2 linked regions of the Schizosaccharomyces pombe genome follow. The protein of the gene in region 1 interacts with the protein of each later gene in a pairwise test. Each region holds a gene or a part of one and is shown in the gene's direction. Other genes may lie near its edges.

Region 1 (4,838 bases):
CGTGTATTGCTATGGTTGCCCTGTTCTCCTACTGTTACTCTTCTTGGAAGTAGGGGATTTTCAAAAAGATCCAAGACATCAGTTTTCCGAGAGGCCTTTACAGACTCTCGTGTATTAGCTGCCTCCGAGTCAACATTGCAAAAATTATGTATGGGGTATAGTAAAGAGGCCAAGGAGAATTATCAAATTTCTCCAAATCCTTTATTAGTTTCACCCACGCCAATTACTAGTGAACCGCATAAAGAGGACCTTACTTTGGTTGAAATGTGCTCCAAACCACAAGATAAACAATTGTCTATTCCAGTGTTTGAAAGCATTGTTAGGATACTGTTGACATGTAAAGCAACATCACTTTCAAAATCCATTTATTATTTAGGCCCAGGTGCGGAAACTCTATTACCCTCCTTCACCCAATGTGGGATTAACATCGATATGCCCGTTGGACTATTGAGTGCAGCCGACTTTCTTACCATTTCAAAAATTATACAAAAATATCCTTTCAAACATCATTTACATTTGGGTACAATAATTGAAGATTCATAAAATTTACAGAAAATTGGGGGAAACAAACGTATTGATTGTTTTTGTTCATACACGCATTTCTTTGCATCCAGTAATTTTGGTTTTTTAAAACCACTCTCTTTTTTATCATTTCTCCACTTCATGTTCTACTCATTGCGTTCTGAGGCCACTGTATTTCATTTATTTGCCTGTGCCATATTCGCTACATCATTAAAGGATTTGTTTGCGTTGAGACACGCGTTCATTCTAATCACCATATTTAAAATAACTTATGCTTGCTTAATCTATTACTAATTTATTCAATTTAAGTGGATAGCTTCCGTTCAGGCTTGTTTTACGTTCTTTTATGTCTCTCATAGTCTCAGGTATCATTTTTTTTTTGGAAAGTGCATAAATGCAATATGGATTTAACTGAGCTATTTTAAATGGAAGTTTACATCTTTCAACTTTTTTAGATGTTAATTAATACAAATACCATAACTTCGAAAAACTATTATAATATTCTTTATTATACCATGCTGTTTATTAAATTGTTTACTGAATTAATGTTTCATTATTATGAGTTGCTTTAGCTTTCAAGGTAGTATTTAATAATCGTTCAGTAGAAAAGCGGATTATTCATTCCCAAACATAAAAAGGTAAATGGAACATACTAGATTAGTTTCTACCCGTATTTGGCATTCCAAAAATAATATGATGAGATCTCATCAGTTTAAAGTGCGCTAGACAATAAACTACCATTAGGCCACGCATATTATTTACTGTTAGCACTGCACACCAAGTAAACCAATTAATTCAAAACATGGGTTCAGTTCGCATTCGCTCTGTCATTAAAGAAGATCTTCCGACCGTTTATCAGTTTATTAAAGAATTGGCAGGTAAGCGCCGTTATGACCAAGAGGACGAAGTCGTGTAGATTCTATTAAAAGGCTAGAGCTTTTGCCAGTATCCCAGACTCACAGGGTCTGATTCTCTTATTGAATTGGAGATTACTCTTAAGCTTTTTATATGGATTTGAGAATATATGGTTTTCGTCAGCAGGGTCGATCTCTACTTCTGTCCGCATGCTATCAGATCAGTTTGTGTTACTATTTAAAAACCGGTTTTAACATTTTGTTTATGAAGAATTTGAAAAATGTGAAGATCAAGTGGAAGCGACAATTCCGAATTTAGAAGTTGCATTTGGATTTATTGACGAGGTTACTCCTGTGGCATATGGAGTATTCATCGAAGAAAATGATCAGGTTCGTAAAAAAAAGTAAACTTGCTTGATCTTTTTTACTAATCTATAATTGCCATCAGCCCGCAGGAATGGCTATATATTTCCTAAATTTTAGGTAGTGAAAAGTTCCGTTTTGAAATATATGAGCTGACGTTGAATAGCACGTGGACTAGCAGAGTGGGGATTTATTTAGTATGTTCTTATCATATTGTCCTTCATAACCTTTTTATTGAAGGATTAACTTTTGATTTCATAGCAAGATTTTAACCATTCAATTTCTTAGGAGGACTTATATGTTCGACCCCAATTCCGTGGAAAAGGATATGGAAGCTACTTACTGTCTTATTTAGCACGAGAATCACTTAGAATTGGTGGCAGACGTCTTGACTGGGTTGTAAGTTGTTTATAACCCATTTCTTTTTTTATACCTTGACTAATACCCTAGGTCCTTGATTGGAACCAGAGAGCCATTGAAGTCTATGAAAAGGCTGGAGCACAAAAAGTTGGAGGATGGAGTATGATGAGAGTCACCGGCGAGAACCTAAAGGCTCTTGCTGATAAACTTCCCGGCAACTTTTAAACTCATACCCAATACTTAACGCTCTAAAAAATTGAAGCATGATATGTTATACCTTTGAAACCTTGAACTGGAAAGAGGAAAATTAATTTTTTATGATTGAAAGATCCTGGATCTTGTAGTTTCGTTTTAAAGCGGTCATTTCAATGTCTTTAGGTTATTTCCCGTTTACCAAAAAATACGATATCAATTTACATCTTACATTTTTTAAAATTAAAAAATAAAGAATCCTTTTTTTTGCAAAGTAAATTATTAGAACTGGTATATTGTTCTAATGTTAATTCCTATAAAACTAATTTGATCGTTTTCCTTTCAATTCATCAAATCGGCTTCTTATTGTGTATTAAAAAATAGAAAGAAAGTATTGGTTAGTATTCTTGAATATCTTTTATTGTGTTTCTTTTTCGAAACGCGTCGCGCGCAATTGTAAACAAACCAACTACCTACAACAGTTTGCCTGTCAATGTTTCAAGGAAAGTGCGCCTTTTTTGATGAAACCGTACCTTCTGCATTAATTGCTTTATGGCGTAAGTTTTAAAGGTTTGATGTGCACTTGTTTGTTGTCGAATGATTTATGGTTCAGTTGTTCTTACTAAAGATAGAATTACACAACGGAGAAGCGAAATTTTTAGCAGAAGGTTATGAAAATTTTGATTATGCATTTTCAATGCATCTAAGAAAGCACGTCCGCTTGCCAAATTACAAATCAGTTCAATGTCGTTCTCCTTGGTGGATTGCGGAGCAAGTAGCTGTTTCCAGAAGGTATTTATTAAATTTACTAAATATTGCATTGATAGTTTATCTTATCATTTACCAAGGCAAGTACTAACCACCATTATTAGCAAAAGTTACGTTTCTGAACCTGTCATTCATTTGAACGTGATGGAACCTTTATATGTTGATCACAGAATACGTTCAGTGTATCTACAGCCTCTGCCATCCACGCTTTCTTTTCTAAACGGTGAATTACCTTGAAATGCTTTGGTGCTGATATGGCGTTGTTCCGATTGTAAATTCTATGCTAATTGTGAAAAATACCTTTCCTTTTTCTATCCTTTATAATTTAATGATCGTTCCTTTAGCTCTCAAAATCGTCAACTGAAGTTGTCACAACCTTCACTTAACCATACGTTACGAATATTAATTTAATGCCTATTTATGCTATTAGCCTAAGATTATTTTCGAATTTTACCTAATTTCTTTATTTATATCCCATAAAGACACTTACGTCTTTTCAATGGACAATTGAACAAGTATACATTGCATAAACATAAAAAACTTACTTCATCTAAGTCCGAGTTTAAAAACTGTTGTTTCCATTTATTATTTCTCATTTACGTTTCGTTTCTTTTTTATTCTCTATTTTTTAATTCTTTTTATAATAACTTTTTTTTTCTGGAATCGCTCACCATTCGGACTAATTTATCTACTTATTTGCATAGGAAACATGAGCAAGTCTACTTTTCATCAAACTTCCCCATCTTTTGTACAATACACTCATGCTACAGATAAACTAAAACCTGCACCTCATGGGATGAATACGCGGGGAAATAACTTATCCTCTATGTCAAAAAATACCGGACAAAGAAAACAGCGTTCCAAATCCATTCATGGACTTCCAGTTGCTCCCGTTTTTTATCCTGATAAAGAGGAATTTCAGGACTCTATCGGTTATATTAATAAGATAGCTCCAATCGGTGAAAAATATGGTATCATAAAAATCGTTCCTCCTGCTGGTTGGAATCCACCGATGCAACTTGACATGAACAAGTTTTCCTTCCGTACTCGGCGGCAGGATTTGCATATGATGGATCTTCGATTTCGTGAAATAGTCTCTTACGATGAACGCGTTTACCGTTTTTTTTGCAATCTGGGCATGGAGCTCCCGGAATCATTTTTTATTTCCAATACGTCTATCGACTTATACAGCTTAATGCGTTGTATTGATTCTCATGCATCTCTAAGTGAGAAGGAATTAAAAGTTCATGTATGGAAAAGGATTTTACGAGAACTTTCAATTCCTTTTACTAATGCATCATTAAAGGAAGCAAGTGACTTGTATTTAAGGTATATTTTTCCATTTGAGGATTTCGTCAGAAAATATCAGACCTCTGAGGATCAATGCTTTGAAACTGATCTCTTCCCTAAATTTTTTACAAAAGACGAACATTCTAATATTAGTATTAAAGATCAGAAGACATCTAAACAATTTAACCCCGAAACTAATGAGTCCGTAGGAATTCTTCAAAACCAAGAATCCAAGAGAAATGAGCAGATTAAACAACAATATATGCCAGCCGATAATTTTGGATCAAATGATAATCACTCACATAATAAAAAGCGACGATTGAGCTCTCTGTCAACGAATAACAACCACTTATGTGACAATTGTCACAAACCTGTCAATTGTGAAGTCGAAGATACGTGTAAAGAAGCGTATTGTACTAAATGTATAATTAATCCATATGAGTTTGGGTTTGAAACAGGGAATTATTATACTTTATCGAACTTTGAAAA
Region 2 (5,023 bases), 1.5 Mb from region 1:
TTGCAATGAAAGAGATGCAACCGAAGAAGAGAGAGAGGAAGACACGCTAGGGTCATCGGATATCAAACTAGGCACGTTAAACCCAGGGGTATCAGCAGGACTCGGATTTCCTACAGTATTAGCCGAAGGAGGAGAAATAGTCGGTGTCGGAGCAATGAGTGTGTTAGCGATATTTGAGCCAGAGCTGTCAGTACTGCCCGTACTGGCCGTTGAGGCAGCCAAAGACGGAGTTAAATTTTCACCAAAGAAAGAAGTGGCATTAGAAAGTAGAGGGAAGGCCGCTGAATGCTTTGAAATAGATTGCAGACCATTGGCCATTGATGAAGAAGAAGTAGTAGAATTATTAGTCGACGAAGAACCTGAAGTAAAGGCAAAGTTTTTAGAAGCCGAAGGATTATTGGCGATCAAGCCAGGATTACCTCCAAGATTCGACGACGAAGAGATGCTTCGGCGAGAAGTAGAAGGTCCGGGCGTGTACGAAGACAATCCAGGACGACGTAAAAGTATGGGGATGTCATCTAACGTCGTATTCATTTGTAAGATAGAAGCCGAGCTATTTTTAGAGTTACTTCTTTGGTATGAAGCAGAGCCAGGCAAGTATAAAGAAGAAGATGGAGATGACAAATTATTCAATCCACCGCCCATAGTCGCAGGCGGAACAAAAGTTGTTGATGAAGAGTGAGAAGTAGTGAAAGAAGGAGTGTTAGAAAGAAGGTTATAGGGAACGAAATTCGAAGATCCGAACGTGTATCCACTCATGCTAGTATTCCGGTTCATGTTCCCAGTACGGTTTCCGAAAGCGCCGGATGCCAAACCGCTTTCCACAGCGGCTTTTGAACCATTTGTTTTTCCGGATTTAGAAGATGAAGGGATCTCAGACAAAGCAATCGGCGCATTAGCGGCATATGGATCCCAAGAATTCGATTTCAATACATCTTTATTCTCAATATCAGAGTACTGTGAAGAAAAGACTGGAAGCGAATATTCTGTAGACATAAAGGATGGATGAGATTTAGAAGACTGCTCGGTCATGCTACGCTTATGTTTTGCGAAGGATTACCTGTTGTCATATATTAACAGTCCGTGGGATAAATTGTTCTTAGTGGGGGATTTTTCCCAAACTATTTCCTGTCCCGATACAAACAAAAAGATGTAGAGAAGAACGATACAACACAAAAAACACAACCTCTACTTTACTTTAAGCAGGCGACTGTACAGTGTGTGGAGTGGAAACCATGCTTACTGTGAGATGTATTGTACCGACAGCAGGTAACACTACGGGTAACGCAACTTACTAAGGAAGAAGCAGGAAGGATTTGAAAAAAAAGAGAAAATGTGAAATTTGTGCTTCGAAGACAAAAACAATTTTTTTAAATGCTAAGAATCATCCCAATTCAGTTTCGTTTCACTCTCTACATTTTTTCTTGTAAGGCGTAATGCCGTAGTTTGACAAAAAACAGATCCCATGAGGTGATTTGTAAGATACAACACCCGTTGGTATGCCTTTTAATGTTTTTAATAACATGTCTTAATGATTTTTATTGGGAGGACGGCTGAGAGAAATTGACGGCAGTCAGTGCATCCATTCCTTCGTTGCACATGTTGATTTTACTTTTACTCGAGAATAACGCCAGGCGGTTCTTTTTTTTAAGCAATAACTACATCATTCGAACATTAATTAATGCTTATAAGAGCTCTTCAAAAGTATCTATAAAGGTTGAGCCAGCTGGTATTTTTATGTCGGCAACTTGATACAATTGTTGTGTATGATTAGTCGCTACATATTTATTTCATAGATTTTCAGTGAAAATCAAATTTATTTTTGGATTCCTTCTTCAAAACTCATAAACAGCCGTCAACTTGTAAACAGAGGCTCACTAATAGATGACGCAATTTTCGCTTAACAACTGCTTAATGCACTCTAAAGATGATAGGTAAACAAGGTCTACTACTTTAGCAGATTAAGACAGTGAGCTGTATTTTGAATAAACATATGTATAAAAAAGCACATCTATTCCTCAAAAGCGTAATTTTTTTATTTTTATAGGTGATATCTTTACAACGTTGTGGGCGTTAAAGATTGTTATGTAAAGCAAAACAGAGAACTTGCTTAAGATTCTCTGAATTTTTAGGTTTCCCTAAAAAACCCACTGTTGGTTTATTTAATTTTCATTTAAGTCTGAAAAAGTCTTGTTTGTGCTATCAGAAAATGCAGTCGTCAATAGAGGATGTCCAAGCTAATATCAAATAGGTGTGGATTTCTTTGTGTAAAAGAAGTCGATTCCTATTCTTTTTTTTAATCTTTTTTGATTTCAAATTTACACTTTTAATAGGTTGTTGGCTTTAATGTCTATCCTCTTATTATTATATGTGGTGTGTTCATATTTTATGCACCTCTTCTTCTACAAACGACGCGTTTTAAAAAAAAATCCTTTCACCCATCCTAAATGATACTGATTTAAACAAAATGCATTTATTAACTACGACGCTTATTTCTTTTGAACAAAACAAAGTAGAATATTTAACCCAAATCGCGATTTATACTCAAACACCTGTATGCACTGATTCAAACTGTGAGCATGCTAGATTTTTAAAACACAGCCTTATTCAAGTTTCAATTGAAAGGATAGAATATTTATACTCGATATTTCCGAATATATGGCAATTCGCTTTGCTTTGCCAAGGTCAAAATAAAGAATCATTGATACATATGGAAGAAGACGCCAGCACGAATTTCAAACTACGATATTGTAAGTTCTGTCTATCAGTATAATGAAACATAATTTCAAAACCTCCCATTACCCATTTTTGACCTAGTTGATTTAATTTAAAAAAAAAAATTTATTAGAGAACGAAAAAAAAATCCGAAGCTATATATTTACTAATGCTAAATGAGTTTAGATGTACTTCCATGGTCTAGAAGACTGCAAGGATACCAGAGCATTACAGTTCAAAATGGTTCCCATGTGCCTTTAGTCAAACGATTGGAAAAGTGGAGGATATTCGTAGAATGTTAACATATAAACATAAGAAAAAAAAAAGACTGCAGAATACAAGAGATCAATGTCATTAATCAATGTTTACACTTTCAAACTCGTCAGAAGATTGTATAATTTCTGCTTCTTTGTTGGGTATTAGATTGTCATCAGCCGTAGGTTCCGAACTTTGCTTAACTGTAGTAATATTTAGATCTTCTTCTTTATCGAGCGCATTCAGTTGCAAGTTAGTAGTATGCGCTTTTTCTGGCTCTAAGACTTCAGAAACTTGAGGGATTTCCTCAATTGCACCGTTAGTACCAATATCTTCAGCTGCTGCGGGAGATGGCTTATCATCGTCTGAATTTTCCTTAGTATCTAAAGGGGCTTCGATTATTTTCTCATCTGTCAAGCCATTCGCATTTTCAGAATTAGCATTGTTTTTTTCAACCTCTTCGTTAGTTGCAGGTCCTTCTTGATTCAATAAAGATTTAACAGCGTTCTCTTCAATTATTTCGTTAGGTTCAGCTTCTTCCTCATTCGCTGAGGATTCAACAGTACTCTTTGTAACTGCTTCACCGGAGGTAGTTTCTTCTTGATTGATTAAAGATTCAGCGGCTGTATTATTTTCTTCTTTTTCATCTTCAAGTCCTTCAGTCTCCGGGGTATTGTTTTCTTCGTTCACGTTAATCTGCTCAACGGCTGGCAAAGAAGATGGTTTTTCTTGATGATTGTTAGCTTCAACTTCGGAAGTTTGCTGGGCAGCAGGTGTACTTTCCAGATTCGAATGTTCCTCAGCATCCTTTATTTGCATATCCTCTTCGGGATTTTCCTGCTTTGTAGAATTTTCTGGCTGATCCGCTTTGATGTTTTCCGAAGAAGTTGGAGCTTCATTGGGCTTACTAGAATCACTTCGTAAACCAATGTCGCTGGAAACATCGATTGATTGCTCAGCCTCAGTTTCAGGCGCTTCAGCCGGAACAGAAGCTGAACTAGATGGCTCAGCATTTGCACTATTTTGAGTTCCCTGTTGGGTTGTTTGCTGTGGAGCTTTAGCTGATGCAGCACCTTGAGCAACTTCAGCGGTATTCTTCGGTTGTTCGGTTGTAGCATTGAGATTTGGTGCAGCATTTTGCGCAGCTTCTACAGAATTAATAGAAGCGTTAGCATTGTAAGAAGCGCGATTTTCGATGTAAAAACCACTAACGTTCACCAAACGTCCTTCAGATTCGCATTTCAACAAATAATCCAAACCTAAAATAGGGATATTGGCAGCTTTTGCCTTTTCGTACTCAGGACCCCCAGTAGAAGAGCAGATAAAATGAGTTGTATCGATACGAACGCTAGTTTGAATTGGTCTAGCGTGAATGCGTTCAATACACTTTTGTAAAGCCTCCATCTCATTGGGAACCATGTTGCCAACACACACTTGAATTCCTGTGAGATCTATCATTCTTAACGTTTTGATGGTAATGTGTTTGCTGGGAAATGTTCCCGCAGTCGTATCCAAAACAAGGGAAAAATCGTATTCTGTATCGAGAGATAAGCCACTCAGCTTGGCATTGTGAGTAGTCATGGGATTAGATATGTTAAGCACTCGAACATTATTACGGTACAAGCAAAGGCTTTTGAGTCTCGCAGTGGAGAGTTGTAAAGGATCCCATTCCAATACAATGCTAGTCTGAGTAGCATTCTTTAACTTAAGAACAGGAGGAGACGGCAATTTTTGGCCATATGTTTCAAAAATTTCTTTTTGAACATCATCGAATGCAGTTTCTCTTGCTATCTCTTCCTCTTTATTGTGATGCACAGAGATATCGATTATAGAGCCTGCAGTCGCGTCATTCGGCAGCAACACGGATGGAAATTCTATAATATGAAATGAAGGTGTCAATAAGATGGCCATTCCCGCATCTATTTTGGCCACAGACACCATAAATTGATTTGTATCATCCATTTTAGATGCTATTATTGATAATCCCCTTTGGTTGTGGTGGAGTGTTTACCTTAACCAGCACTCTTACACTTCTAACTATAGGTAGCACTTG

Evidence for each region. Proteins that work in one complex are often made in the same cells at the same time.
Region 2: the proteins of bqt2 (region 1) and bqt1 interact in a two-hybrid assay, tested with the Schizosaccharomyces pombe proteins (2 studies listed by BioGRID).

Annotation. Positions count from the first base shown.
Region 1 is NC_003424.3:1,805,728-1,810,565, reverse strand, and holds bqt2 (bouquet formation protein Bqt2), read left to right. Parts: upstream 1-2,784; coding exon 2,785-2,848; exon of another isoform or gene 2,849-2,923; coding exon 2,924-3,083; exon of another isoform or gene 3,084-3,163; coding exon 3,164-3,296; downstream 3,297-4,838. Other genes in the region: RNA polymerase-specificity factor Mtf1, read left to right, coding at 1-543; SPOM_SPAC1002.07C (N-acetyltransferase Ats1), read left to right, coding at 1,325-1,400, 1,648-1,766, 1,825-1,859, 1,906-1,936, 2,028-2,138, 2,190-2,324; histone demethylase Jmj2, read left to right, coding at 3,769-4,838. UniProt on the Schizosaccharomyces pombe protein: Involved in chromosome segregation. During meiotic prophase, connects telomeres to the spindle pole body by forming a bridge between the telomere protein rap1 and the spindle pole body protein sad1.
Region 2 is NC_003424.3:3,270,144-3,275,166, reverse strand, and holds bqt1 (bouquet formation protein Bqt1), read left to right. Parts: upstream 1-2,467; coding exon 2,468-2,750; intron 2,751-2,799; exon of another isoform or gene 2,800-2,901; coding exon 2,902-3,017; 3' UTR 3,018-3,069; downstream 3,070-5,023. Other genes in the region: puf4 (RNA-binding protein), read right to left, coding at 1-1,032; CHS5-like protein Cfr1, read right to left, coding at 3,070-4,932.